Caenorhabditis elegans: one gene and its partner. Each later gene encodes a partner of the first gene's protein in a complex. Each region holds a gene or a part of one and is shown on either strand. Other genes may lie near its edges.

What was found. Proteins that work in one complex are often made in the same cells at the same time.
Region 2: C46H11.3 (region 1) and arx-4 share a complex: the UniProt entries of both Caenorhabditis elegans proteins name them as parts of the arp2/3 complex.

What each region holds. Positions count from the first base shown.
Region 1 is NC_003279.8:5,038,161-5,043,906, forward strand, and holds C46H11.3 (putative actin-related protein 2/3 complex subunit 5), read left to right. Parts: upstream 1-3,209; 5' UTR 3,210-3,331; coding exon 3,332-3,404; intron 3,405-3,483; coding exon 3,484-3,599; intron 3,600-3,643; coding exon 3,644-3,895; 3' UTR 3,896-3,932; downstream 3,933-5,746. Other genes in the region: lfe-2 (Inositol-trisphosphate 3-kinase homolog), read left to right, coding at 385-478, 535-684, 769-1,043, 1,429-1,779, 2,510-2,605; C46H11.7 (ShKT domain-containing protein), read right to left, coding at 4,035-4,174, 4,221-4,649, 4,693-4,767, 4,817-4,892. UniProt on the Caenorhabditis elegans protein: Functions as a component of the Arp2/3 complex which is involved in regulation of actin polymerization and together with an activating nucleation-promoting factor (NPF) mediates the formation of branched actin networks.
Region 2 is NC_003281.10:860,724-867,192, forward strand, and holds arx-4 (putative actin-related protein 2/3 complex subunit 2), read left to right. Parts: upstream 1-1,582; 5' UTR 1,583-1,586; coding exon 1,587-1,660; intron 1,661-2,074; coding exon 2,075-2,168; intron 2,169-2,215; coding exon 2,216-2,269; intron 2,270-2,319; coding exon 2,320-2,555; intron 2,556-4,091; coding exon 4,092-4,539; 3' UTR 4,540-4,673; downstream 4,674-6,469. Other genes in the region: exos-4.2 (Exoribonuclease phosphorolytic domain-containing protein), read left to right, coding at 1-441. UniProt on the Caenorhabditis elegans protein: Functions as actin-binding component of the Arp2/3 complex which is involved in regulation of actin polymerization and together with an activating nucleation-promoting factor (NPF) mediates the formation of branched actin networks.

The DNA.
Region 1 (5,746 bases):
GTATTCCGTGATTTTTATTATCCATCAAAATCAAAATATTAAGAGCCCCCTACAAACAAAATTAATTTTTTCTTGCTTTGTTCTTTCTCTCTATTCTTCATTTCCTACACTTGATTTTGCAATTACCTGTAAGCTGAAACTCTTTTGTACTGCATTGTAATTATCAATGACGCACTAATATTTTCTCAAACCGTCATGTCTCGTGTCACATTTGATATTTTCGTCCTACTAATCGGATTGATTTCCTGTCGTCCTACTCGCTTTATACTAACACTATTACAAAATTTATTGGCTTATTGTTAAGCAGCGAAAAAAAAAACTAAAAATGAAAGGTTATAATCAGAACAAGTAATATTGAAGGAATGTACAACATGATGATTTCAGGTATCCGTCGAGACTATGGCCATCACAGCGTTGCCGATGGATGTTTGGCTGAAAGAACGACTCAAGAAATGGGTGCAGTTATCAGGACATGAAGGTTTGTGTCGAACCAGAGATGAAATGACGGAAATCAGTAACTGAAAAGTTTTACAGGAAGCATTGTACCCGCCACGCCTCATACGTTATACAAGAAACAGTGTGCAAATTGTGGAGAAGGAAGAGCTTATAAGAATATTTCAAAAGACCCAGCACTTGATGGATTCACACCTAAATATTATGATGAACTGGAGAAAAATGAAGAGCGTAAGCATTTTTTTTTTGAAATAATGACAAATTTCCAAACTTTTCTGAACTTTTCATATAATTTAAATATTTTTATTTATTCAGATTTTATCGAAATCGAAGATCTCCTGCAACAGTTCCATGACCCCACAAAAACCGCAATTATGGACATCAAAATCGGAACAAGGACATTTTTGGAATCAGAAGTATCAAACACCAAAAAACGGGCTGATCTTTACGAAAAAATGGTTGCGATTGATAATGACGAGCCGACAGAAGAGGAGAGAAAGTGTGGAGCAATCACAAAATTACGATACATGCAGTTTAGGGAACGAGAGAGCAGCACTGCACAGCTCGGATTTCGAATTGAGGCAGCCAAGGTATGTGAATGGGTCTCGAACCGGCCGTATATATAAAAATTAAAATGTATGCGCCTTTAAAAAGTACAGCAGTTTCCACGGTTCACTTTAAAAAATTGCAAAATAGAGAGGTTTGAAGACTACAGTTTTTTTAAAGGCGCACACTCGTTCATATTTAAATATGTGATCGTGTCGAGACCGGCTACTCTATTGTTGAAGTTTTTGGTCCTTACTTGGCTCAAATTAGAGCTCCAGCTGTGTACCTGACTTCCGCAGTGCTCAAAGCTTTAATCTTTATAAAACATATGTTTTTCCATCCAATTCATGGGTATATTTAGAATTCTAAATGTTAACATAACAAGTTTTCTTCAAACCCTAAACTCTTCAACATCGCATTTATTTCCAGAGGCTCGAAGGCGCATTGGAGAAAAACTTCAAAAAAGTACGAACAGTTGAAGATGTCACAACTACATTTATGGACTTCTTTGGAACTCAAAGAAGCCGTGTAAGACAACAATTAATTGAACGACTGAAATCAATGCGAAAAGCCATCGAACATTCATCATTCTTCAATTCACATGAAGTCGTCGGAAGCAGTATTCTGATTGTTTTTGATACGGAAAAAGTGGGATGCTGGATGATTGACTTTGCAAAGAGTTCACCGGTTCCTAATGGACGAACACTAAACCATCGGACGACGTGGATACCTGGGAATAATGAAGATGGGTATTTGATAGGAATCGATAATTTAGTCAAGGTAAGCTTGGTTTTCTTAGAATTTTTTATTTAAATATTATTAATGTAGCACCTTACTATTAAACTCAGTTGCCTTTTGTCCTATACAAAAATTGTTAACGGAAAAATATTGGAAAGTGTTTCATATTGTTTTAAAATTTTTTAAAGCAAAAATAAAGTAGTGGGATTTAATACTATTAGAGAATATTCGGTAACTAATATAGATAAGAGGTGCGGAAAATCAATTTATATATTTTCAAATTCTTGACACTATATTTATTTTTCTTTTGAATTTGAGTTTATTTAACTAAAAGAAGAGAAATAAACAAATAAAACGAGACGAACCCTAAAAGAGTTCAACTCGAGTAAAAGTTACATAAAAAAAGAAAGAAAAGATAATAGGGAACAGGTGAAACGGGGAGAAAAACGAGAATGGAGGTAAAAGTGTAGTTATAACCGGGGGATGTTGAGATCAATAAATTCACAGAACTGATATGGGGACATAAAAACCGTAACATTTTTGAATAAATTGGAAAAAATATTGGAAAGTGTTTCATATTGTTTTAAAATTTTTTAAAGCAAAAATAAAGTAGTGGGATTTAATACTATTAGAGAATATTCGGTAACTAATATAGATAAGAGGTGCGGAAAATCAATTTATATATTTTCAAATTCTTGACACTATATTTATTTTTCTTCTCATAAATTTTAAATGTTACCAAGTAGTTGAATTATAATTCAAATATTTTCAGATTCTCGAAGAACTCCCCGAGTACGGAGAACATCCTGATGACCAGTTAATGGTCACAGAGGAAGTGATTGCCAGAATGAAAAATACGAAATCGTAGAAGCTTCTACCTCCTTGGATTACTGTAGATAGATGAAAGTGTGTGTCTCTTCATATTCCGCCATAATAATTTCTGTGATTCCCCACCGCTCCTCCACAAAATCCTCATCCGTGTACAATTTGCTATTATTCAATTTTACACCCCCTCCAGCCAGTCCTTGTTTTTGTTGGTTTTTTGAAAAAGAAAATAGATTTTTTGAAAAAGAAAATAGATTTTCACTTTTTAATCTATCGCTTTCCCCTTCTCTTTTCCTTTACCATGGCATAATCCCTAGACTTTCTTCTTACTTTCAGTTGTTTTTTTTGTTCCATTGTGTACGATCCGAGTAATGGATTAATTGATTGGGTACAATTTGTATATTTTTATTCTCAAATGAAGAGAAATTTTTGAAATGTCCAGTTGCAATTTAGATCCAAACAACAATCTATTGAAGTCTTTGCTTTAAAAGCTAGAGCAGGTGCAATTGTTCCCAGTGCATATCGGCCGATTGCCTAGTGAAAAGTACTAGGCAAAACAAAAAACTTATGGCAATTATTTGGGGATTAAAAGAAAATTGTTCAGAAACAAGAATCTATGAAATTTGGTATGCAGCAGAACAAACGTTTTCGAATTTCACAAAAGAGTGGACAATTGGTGCTCTTATTCAAAATTTCAAAGAGACTTCAAAAAAGCTTTCTTATATCATTTTTTAGGTTTTCATTCAGAAATGTTTTTCTATTGTAGATAATGTACAACACTGACTATAAAAAGTACAATGTTGATATTTTTCATCCAGCTCATTTTGAAGATATTCAGGAAGGTTAGTCAATCTGAATTCAATAATTAATTTTTGAATAAATAATAATATTTCAATAAATAATTTTTGAAAATTTTTTCAGAATCTGCAGATTGTGGGCCAAATGTGCAAGAGGTTCGGCAATTTCTGGAGTCAAATCGACTTGAATATGCTCTTCAATCCGTTCTCTTAAACCCACCATTTGGTCATTCTGAACAGGTTTTATTTTTTAATGTCATTTTGCAAACCTCTTTCCCTTTTAGGAACTCAAGAACCGTGCTGTTCTCCTTGTGGCCGAGGTTATTCATGCATTTCGACAGACCGATATTGAAGAATCAGTTCACAAGCTGTCAAATGAAAATGGAGACATTCTGATGAAGTATATTTACAAAGCAATGCAACTATGCTCTGATTCTGCCACGTGTCTTTCTCTACTATTGTGGCATTCTCAATTGGTATCAAAATTTGGGCAGGGATCCATTGTTCGAGTGTTGTCCAATCGACAACGTCTCTAATTTTTTAATGAAGGTACATGTATCTGTTAATTTCTGCAATAAAACTCCAAGATCCAAAGTTTTTTATATGAAGAAGTTCAAATTTACAACAACCAAATATATTAGGAAATAAATAAAATGATTCAAGAAAAAATGAAGATTATCCAGAAGTGCAGAATCCGCAAGTGAGTGGGCATTGAGCTCTCATAAGGGTTGCGTAGGCAGAATTGGTACAGAATGCACGACGGTTTGGACAATCGGAGACTCCTGTAGCTGCGTTGACTTGGTCAACACAGGTGGCTGAAAAGTTCAGACATGGAACGTTATGAACAATTATTAATCTTACTTGAAGCTGTTGTGGAGGAAGATGAAGTTACGGTAGAGCTTGAGTTACATCTTCCACAAGTTCTTGGGCATTGTTGAGTCATGACGGCATAGTAGACTGAATCATTGCACAAAGAAGCTCGTGCAGTACAATCAGAAACTCCGGTGGATGGGTTTACAAGATCGGCACAGCTAGTGGAGCTTGTGGTAGTTGAGTTACAACGACCGCATGTTCTTGGACATTGTTGAGTCATGACTGTGTAGTAGGTGGTGTCGTTGCAAAGATAGGCAAGTGCTGGACAATCAGAGACCCCGGTAGATGGATTGAGGCGATCAGCACACGAAGTTGTAGAGGTTGAGGTTACTGTAACTGCTGAAGCAGTTGTGGTTACTGTAGATCCATCAGAATCTGTTACCACAGCAGCAGTGGTTGAAGTCACAAGGGGAACGGCTAAAAATCATAGGTCACGGTTGAAAGAACCTTGTTGACTTACTGGTTACAGGACAACATTGACCAGCTGCCACATCACAGACCTGTGTCTGGCACACAAGAATGCCACCGTCACATGCTGAAATGAAACAACTCAAACTCTAAAAGTAATGGCAGTCTTTACTTACGTCCTTCAGATTCAGAAGCTTCGCAAGCAAATGCAACCGAGAAAATGGCAAATGAAATAATGAATTGACGGAACATGATAGAATGATGGTTATAGTTCTGCAGCAGTTGCTTTTATATTGTGAGATACTGTCCATCTGTGCAAACAGTTGTCTCTGTTACATTTTTGGAAACAGAATGACCATTGTTTTACATGGAAAAGTACCTGGATTGAAAGCAAACATTTCAATCCTCTCTGCATAACAATTGCTTCAAATTTAGTAAAATGCCCCTCGTAATTAACAAAGGAACAGTTATGATTGAAAGATTTTTATGAAATCGATCCTTACTTTCACGCAGTTCCATCCAATAAAAATATAATTTTAAAGTTTACCATTCTGGGAAAGACAGTTATCTTCTGAGAAAGTATTTTAATTTCATGTTGTTCGGTTAATCCTTAGAAGCAAATTGAAATTGGTTATTGTTGGAAGGACAACACTTCCATCAAAAAATGTATACAGTTTTAGGAGATCGTTGCAAAAATTTTTCACCAAGTTGTTCGGATAGATCAGCCCAATTATAGTTTTGACTTGTAAAATCTTCTTTAGAATTCGATCCTTTCTTTATTTTATTTAAAGCCGATGATCTTTAAAACCACCTTCCCTTTTGAAAAACTTTTGAGAGCACGGCAAAGGCAAATTATTTTTTGCGATAATGTAAAAGTACAATACAGACTAACTTAAGTGAGTGTAACACAGGATTGAGTCAGTCAGCGATAATTTTTTTCAAAACATCATCAGAGTTTCTTTTTAATTAGAACGCTTTTCGTTTTCATAGTTTTTTTTTTAATTTCCTGTATTTTCCGAACATCAATAATTTTTACAGGCGCTGATAAAGTAATTAATTTGTGGGAGCAAAATAGACGTATAGGTACTCCAATGGGTGCTTCATTT
Region 2 (6,469 bases), on another chromosome or scaffold:
GTCGCAGAATATCGTGCTCAACTGGCGTCTGCAGTATCTGCTGTGATTTTCGCGAGCAAATATCCTGGAAAAGTGATCGAAATCGAGATAACCGTTCTTTCGGATGATGGTGGTGTTCTTTCAACTGCACTTTCAGCTGTCACACTAGCCATTTCTCATTCTGGAATTGAAAATATGGGATTAATGGCCAGTGTTCATGTGGCAATGAATTCTGATGGAGAATGCTTGACGGATCCATCAACTTCCGAATCCGAAGGAGCCATCGGTGGCGTCACATTCGCTTTCGTTCCGAATCTTGGCCAAACAACGTGTGTGGACATTTACGGACGAATCCCTCTCAAATCCACGTCATCACTTTTGGAATTTGCGAAGCAAAGAGCGTGTGCTCTGGTTCCGACGATTCATAAGGCAATTGTGAACAGTGTGCGAGAGAGAAAATAAATGTGTTGACAATTTTTAAATTTATCTCTCATTCCGAATATCTAATTTAGAAAAAAAAGTTTTTGCCCGATTATTTGAAAATACATTTTTCCGTCTAAATTGAACATTAAATAGAAATATAAAATTGAATTCGACAAAATTTTTTTTGAAAATATTTTTTAGTTCGTGATTTCAAGCTGAAATATAAAAAAACAGATATTCAAAATATCATGCTCAAAAAAAATATGGAAAAAAGAAATATCTTCGTTTGCATTAAATTTTTTTCGAATTCTTGAAAATTTTTTTCGAATTCTTGAGAATGAGAATTTGAAAAAAAAAATCTCAAGCGAAAATATTGAACATTTCCATATTTTTGAGCATGATATTTTGAATATCGGTTTTTTTTTATTTTAGCTCGAAATCACGAATTTCAAAAATTTGTCAAAATTAACATTACCGAATTCACAAGTTTAAAAAGGATTAAAAATTAACATTACCGAATTCACAAGTTTAAAAAGGATTAAACTTGTGAATTCGGTAAAGTTAATTTTGACAAATTTTTGAAATTCGTGATTTCGAGCTAAAATATAAAAAAAAACCGATATTCAAAATATCATGCTCGAAAATATGGAAATGTTCAATATTTTCGCTTGAGATTTTTTTTTCAAATTCTCAAGAATTCGAAAAAAAAATTTTTATTTTTAAAACGCTCAATTTAGACGGGAAAATGTATTTTTCAAAATCGGACGAAAACTTCTTTTTTTTCTAAATTAGATATTCGCCGATACATTTTCTAAAAATTCAATTAATTATCCCCGATTTCACTTCAAATGCACCCCCTTCCATCTTTAATGAATGGGAGGAAAGAGCGCTCCACTGCACACAGATTCTTTGAGTAAATATAATACTGTTTAGTCACCTTCCCTTTTGCCTTCTCCGTCGTTTCTTTCTCATTTCTTTCTTGTTGATTTTGTTGTTGTTTCCCTTTTCATTTTGTTCAACCGTCGTGGTTTTCACAGTTTTCCTTCATTTTAAATACAATGAATTCAGAATTCTCTATGCATTTAATACCCTTCTTATTCCGTCGCTGGTCGCGGTTTTGTATTTTAATTCCTTTTTAATTGTTTTTGTACATTTCTCTCTCTATTTTCTACACTTTCAGAAAAATGATCATTTTGGAGCAAAACAACCGAATTATCGTGGAACTTCTCGAGCAAAAATTTGCAAACGCGAAGGAAGGGTTGGTTTTTTTTTGAATTTTAAACGTATTTTTGTAATTTTGAAAGAAAACATAACTGCATAATTTTCCTTTATTTTTAAATTAAAAACATTACCTTTCCGAAATTATTACGGAAATTTCGTTATTTTTTCAAACGTTTGTTGAAAACAATACCAAGAAAAAGTAAACTTGTGTGCGGTTTTCCCGTAGATATAGGTCTCGCCACGAATTTAGCATTTTCAGGCTTTAAAAAGTGTATGTTTTTATAAAGAGTATAGTAATTTCTCCATGGTTCTTCAACTGAAGTGCCAGAGAAACAACGATGTGTGTGAGAGTAATGTACTTTTTGAAGGCACATAGCGTTAAATTGAAAATGATTTGATCGTGGCGAGACCTTAATATATTGTTACTCTCACTAATAATCACCTTTTTCAGTGGAAAACCAGAGTCGGTCAACGTGACATTCGCCGATTTTGACGGAGTTCTCTACAAACTTTCGAATCCAGATGGCGATAGAACCAAGATAATTGTTAGAAACTTTTTCACAGTCTAATAATTTTTAAAACTAATTTTCAGCTGAGCATCTCGCTAAAATTCTACACGGAACTGCAGCAACACGGAGCGGATGATGTATGTCGCCGCTTTTTTCTGATGAATATTTGATTTTCCAAAATTTCCAGCTCCTTCGTCGTGTGTACGGTGGTCATATGCGTTCAACTCCGGAACAAGGATTTAATGTCACTCTGGAATACAATTTGGCCGATCTTCCGGCAGATACAACGGATTTGGTGCAGGCAGCTTCTGCTTTGAAGAGAAATTGTTTTGCTTCAGTCTTTGAAAAGTATTTCGAATTCCAAGAGGCCGGCCAGGAGGGGCATAAGAGAGCTGTTATTAATTATAGAGATGATGAGACAATGTGAGTACCGGTTGTGTTATGGCGTTATTCGAGAAGTGTCGAAAAATTTAAAAGTGTAGAAAAACTACGCCACAACTGTTTTAAAATACATAAAAACATGTATTTTAATACAGTTGTGGCGTCATAAATGTTTTTGAACACATTTTGCAAAATTACTTGATTAACCCCATTAAACGAGGAAAGTTGAAAAATGTTCAATATTATAAAGATTTGTTCAATTAAAATAATTTCACAGAGAAAGGCTGAAAAGTGGCGTTTTTATTCCAGTTTTCGTGGATTTTCAGAGAATTTGATTTATTATTTAACTATCAAAAGATATAAAAATTTTCGATTTTTTCATATTTCGAAAAAATTCCAAGTTTGCCGGAATTTTTCAATTCCTGCACTTTGCCGTTTTGCCGGTTTTCCGCCCACCCCTGAATCGACTCTCTACAATTTTTCAAATAAATAATTTATTATTAGGTCTCCAAATAAGTTCCGGGTCAAAAATCATAACTTTGTTCGCTGCGAATCGATTTTTATGAAATTGTGGGAATTTATGTTATCAACCATGATCTTTCATTTGACAATAGTCACAAAATTTTTTGGCCGTCCGAAGTGCCCGTACTCATAGCCAATTTTTTCAGGCATTTTTCAGATCTCGCTTCTTTTCAGGTTTCAACTAAGGTTTGTGTGCGGATATTGCTTAGTTTAGTACACAATGTAAGAGAACAAGAAAAGTTTGAAAAAAATCCGTCCAAAAAAATTTTTTTGTCGATCGTCAAAAAATCTTCAAAAAATTTTTTGTCGAAAATTCTTAATTTTTCATACAAAAATGATGTAACCATGTGCAAACTATTTTTACACATACAAAAAATTTCAATTTAGTGCGTCTCACTAAAAAAAAATAACAAAAAACACAGCTTTTTCGAACTATTTTCGAGTTTTTGGAGTATTTCTCAAGATCCAAATTTCATACTCAAATGTTTTGTATGTGTAAAAATAGTTTGCACATGGTTACATCATTTTTGTATAAAAATTCAAGAATTTTCGACAAAAATTTTTTTGTAGATTTTTTGACGAGCGACAAAAAAAATTTTTTTGGACGGATTTTTTTTCAAACTTTTCTTGTTTTCTTACATTGTGTACTTAATTAAGCAATATCCGCACACAAACCTCAGTTGAAACCTGAAAAGAAGCGAGATCTGAAAATGCCTGAAAAAATTGGCTCCGAGTACGGACACTTCGGACGGCCAAAAAATTTTGTGACTATTGTCAAATGAAAGATCATGGTTGATAACATAAATTCCCAAAGTTTCATAAAAATCGATTCGCAGCGAACAAAGTTATGATTTTTGACCCGGAACTTATTTGGAGATCTAATAATAATCACAAATTTGCCATTTTCTCTGAAAAATAGTAAGAATTAATAAAAAAGTGTTTTTCACTTTTTCAATACGCACAAATTTCTTATTTTTTGAACAAAAAATTCTGAAAAACAGTACTTTTTAATTGTAATACTGCAAATAATATACTTTAAACCCCAATGATTTTCAGGTACATTGAAGCGAAAGCGGATCGTGTGACCGTAATCTTCAGTACAGTTTTCAAGGACGCTGACGATGTGATAATCGGAAAAGTGTTCCTTCAAGAATTCCGTGAAGGCCGAAAAGCCAGTCAAACTGCTCCAGCAGTACTCTACTCACTCGGTGAACCACCTTTGGAGCTTAAAGATCTTCCAGAAGCCCGTGTTGGAGACAATGTTGGATACATTACATTTGTGTTGTTCCCACGTCACACAAATAAGAAGACAAAAGACAATACGATTGATTTGATTCATTCGTTCCGTGACTATCTTCATTATCATATCAAATGTTCCAAAGTCTACCTTCACACCAGAATGCGTGCCAAGACCACTGATTTCTTGAAGGTTCTCAATCGGGCACGTCCAGAGGTCAAAGGAGAAAAGAAGACGTTCCATGGAAGAACTTTTCAGACCCAATAAATGTACAAATTATCACAATTGTTACCAAATATTTTTTTTCTGTTTTCGCTTTAAAACCTTATTTATTGCTTTGATTGTAAAATGTTCTTATGAGGTTCGTGAAATTTTGATATGAAATGAATTATTGCAGTAAAATGGAGAGCGATAGTTAAGGCACAATTTGTGGAATGATATCAATTACTATCCGATTTCAAAGAAGAAAAACATGGACGGGCTGAAAATGCATAGGGATCGGAGGAGAGAGAGGAGAACAGGTATTCAGGTAGACCCTAGTAGTTTGACCTACGAAACTTGCGGGAATGGTGTTTACGCGTCATGGCAAACAACGAGGAGTCCACCTGAACACATGTAATGTAATAATGAAGAAATCTCCTAAAAATCATAAAAATTTTCAAATATTATCATTTGGAGCAATTTTACGGGCCTCTAAAGTAGTGAAAAAAAAAACACTATTCAGCTCGATTTTTATCCAGTTCAAAGTGTTTTTTTGCCGGCCTATTTAGGAGGTACTCTTTTAACATAGATTTCATCCAGAAGTCGGGGTTAACTTGAAATACTTCCCTTGTTCTCTCACATGATCTAAAATACTCATTCACATCTTTTAGTTGTCCTGCAAATACGCTTCACATTTTTTTTCTTCAATTTTTTGCAATTCATGTATGCTGAATTCAGAAAAACTAGGTTTAACCCATCAAAAACTATTAGAAAGTGGCAAAAATGACAATTTATGGCAAAAAATCACATTTTTGAAACTGCTCTAAAATGGTAACTTTTATAGTAAGATGACTCAAAATTGATTTTCTGACACTATAAAATTGCCCTTTTCCAATTTCTAATAGTTTTGTACATTTTTCAAAAAAAAATTTTTTGCCTAAATAAAAAAAAGGACAGTCAAAAAAAGGACACAAAAAAAGGACAAGGAGTAGATGGCTGAAAAAAAATTGGGCAAAAATAAAAAGTTGTCTAATTTTGTTAAAAACGGGTAATTCATGTATGCTGAATTCAGAAAATCCAGGTTTAACCCATCAAAAACTATTAGAAAGTGGCAAAAATGACAATTTATGGCAAAAAATGATTTTTTTTGAAACTGCTCTAAAATGGTTAGTTTTATAGTTAAAGGACTGATAATTGATCGCAAAGAACTAAAAAATTGTCTTTTTTCAATTTCCAGTGTTTTGTACAAATTAAAAAAATATTTTGCCTAAATAAATGGCAGTTATTGGATGGCTGTAAAAAAATTGGAAAAAAAAAATAATAAGTTGTCTAAATTTGTTCCAAAGTCTACCTTCACACCAGAATGCGTGCCAAGACCACTGATTTCTTGAAGGTTCTCAATCGAGCACGTCCAGAGGTCAAAGGAGAAAGGAAGACGTTCCATGGAAGAATGTTTCAAACCCAATAAATGTACAAATTATCAAAATTGTTACCAAATATTTTTTATTTCTGTTTCCGCTTCAAAACCTCCTTATTCATTGCTTTGATTGTGAAAAGTTTTTTATTATGAGGTTTGTGAGATTTTGATATTAAATTATTTATTGTAATAATATTGGAGAGAAAGTCAAGGCACAATTTGTGGAATGATATCGATTGCTACCCGATTTCGAGGATGAAAAACATGGACGGGCTGGAAATGCATGGGGATCGGAGGAGAGAGAGAGGAGAACATGTATTCAGGTGGACGCTAGCAGTTTGCCCTACGAAACTTCCGGGAATCGTTCTTGCGCGTCATGGTAAATGGCGAGGGGTCCGCCTGAACACATGTATGTAATCTAATAATGATCATATGTATATGGACATTTTTAGATTATGATTGGTTGAATATTTTAATAGAGATCTCACTAGAGAACACAATTAAGGAAAAAACTGAACTACAACAATCTGGAAGGGGCTTTAGGAAGGGCTGTCTTGAATAATTGAATCAGGGGCAAGT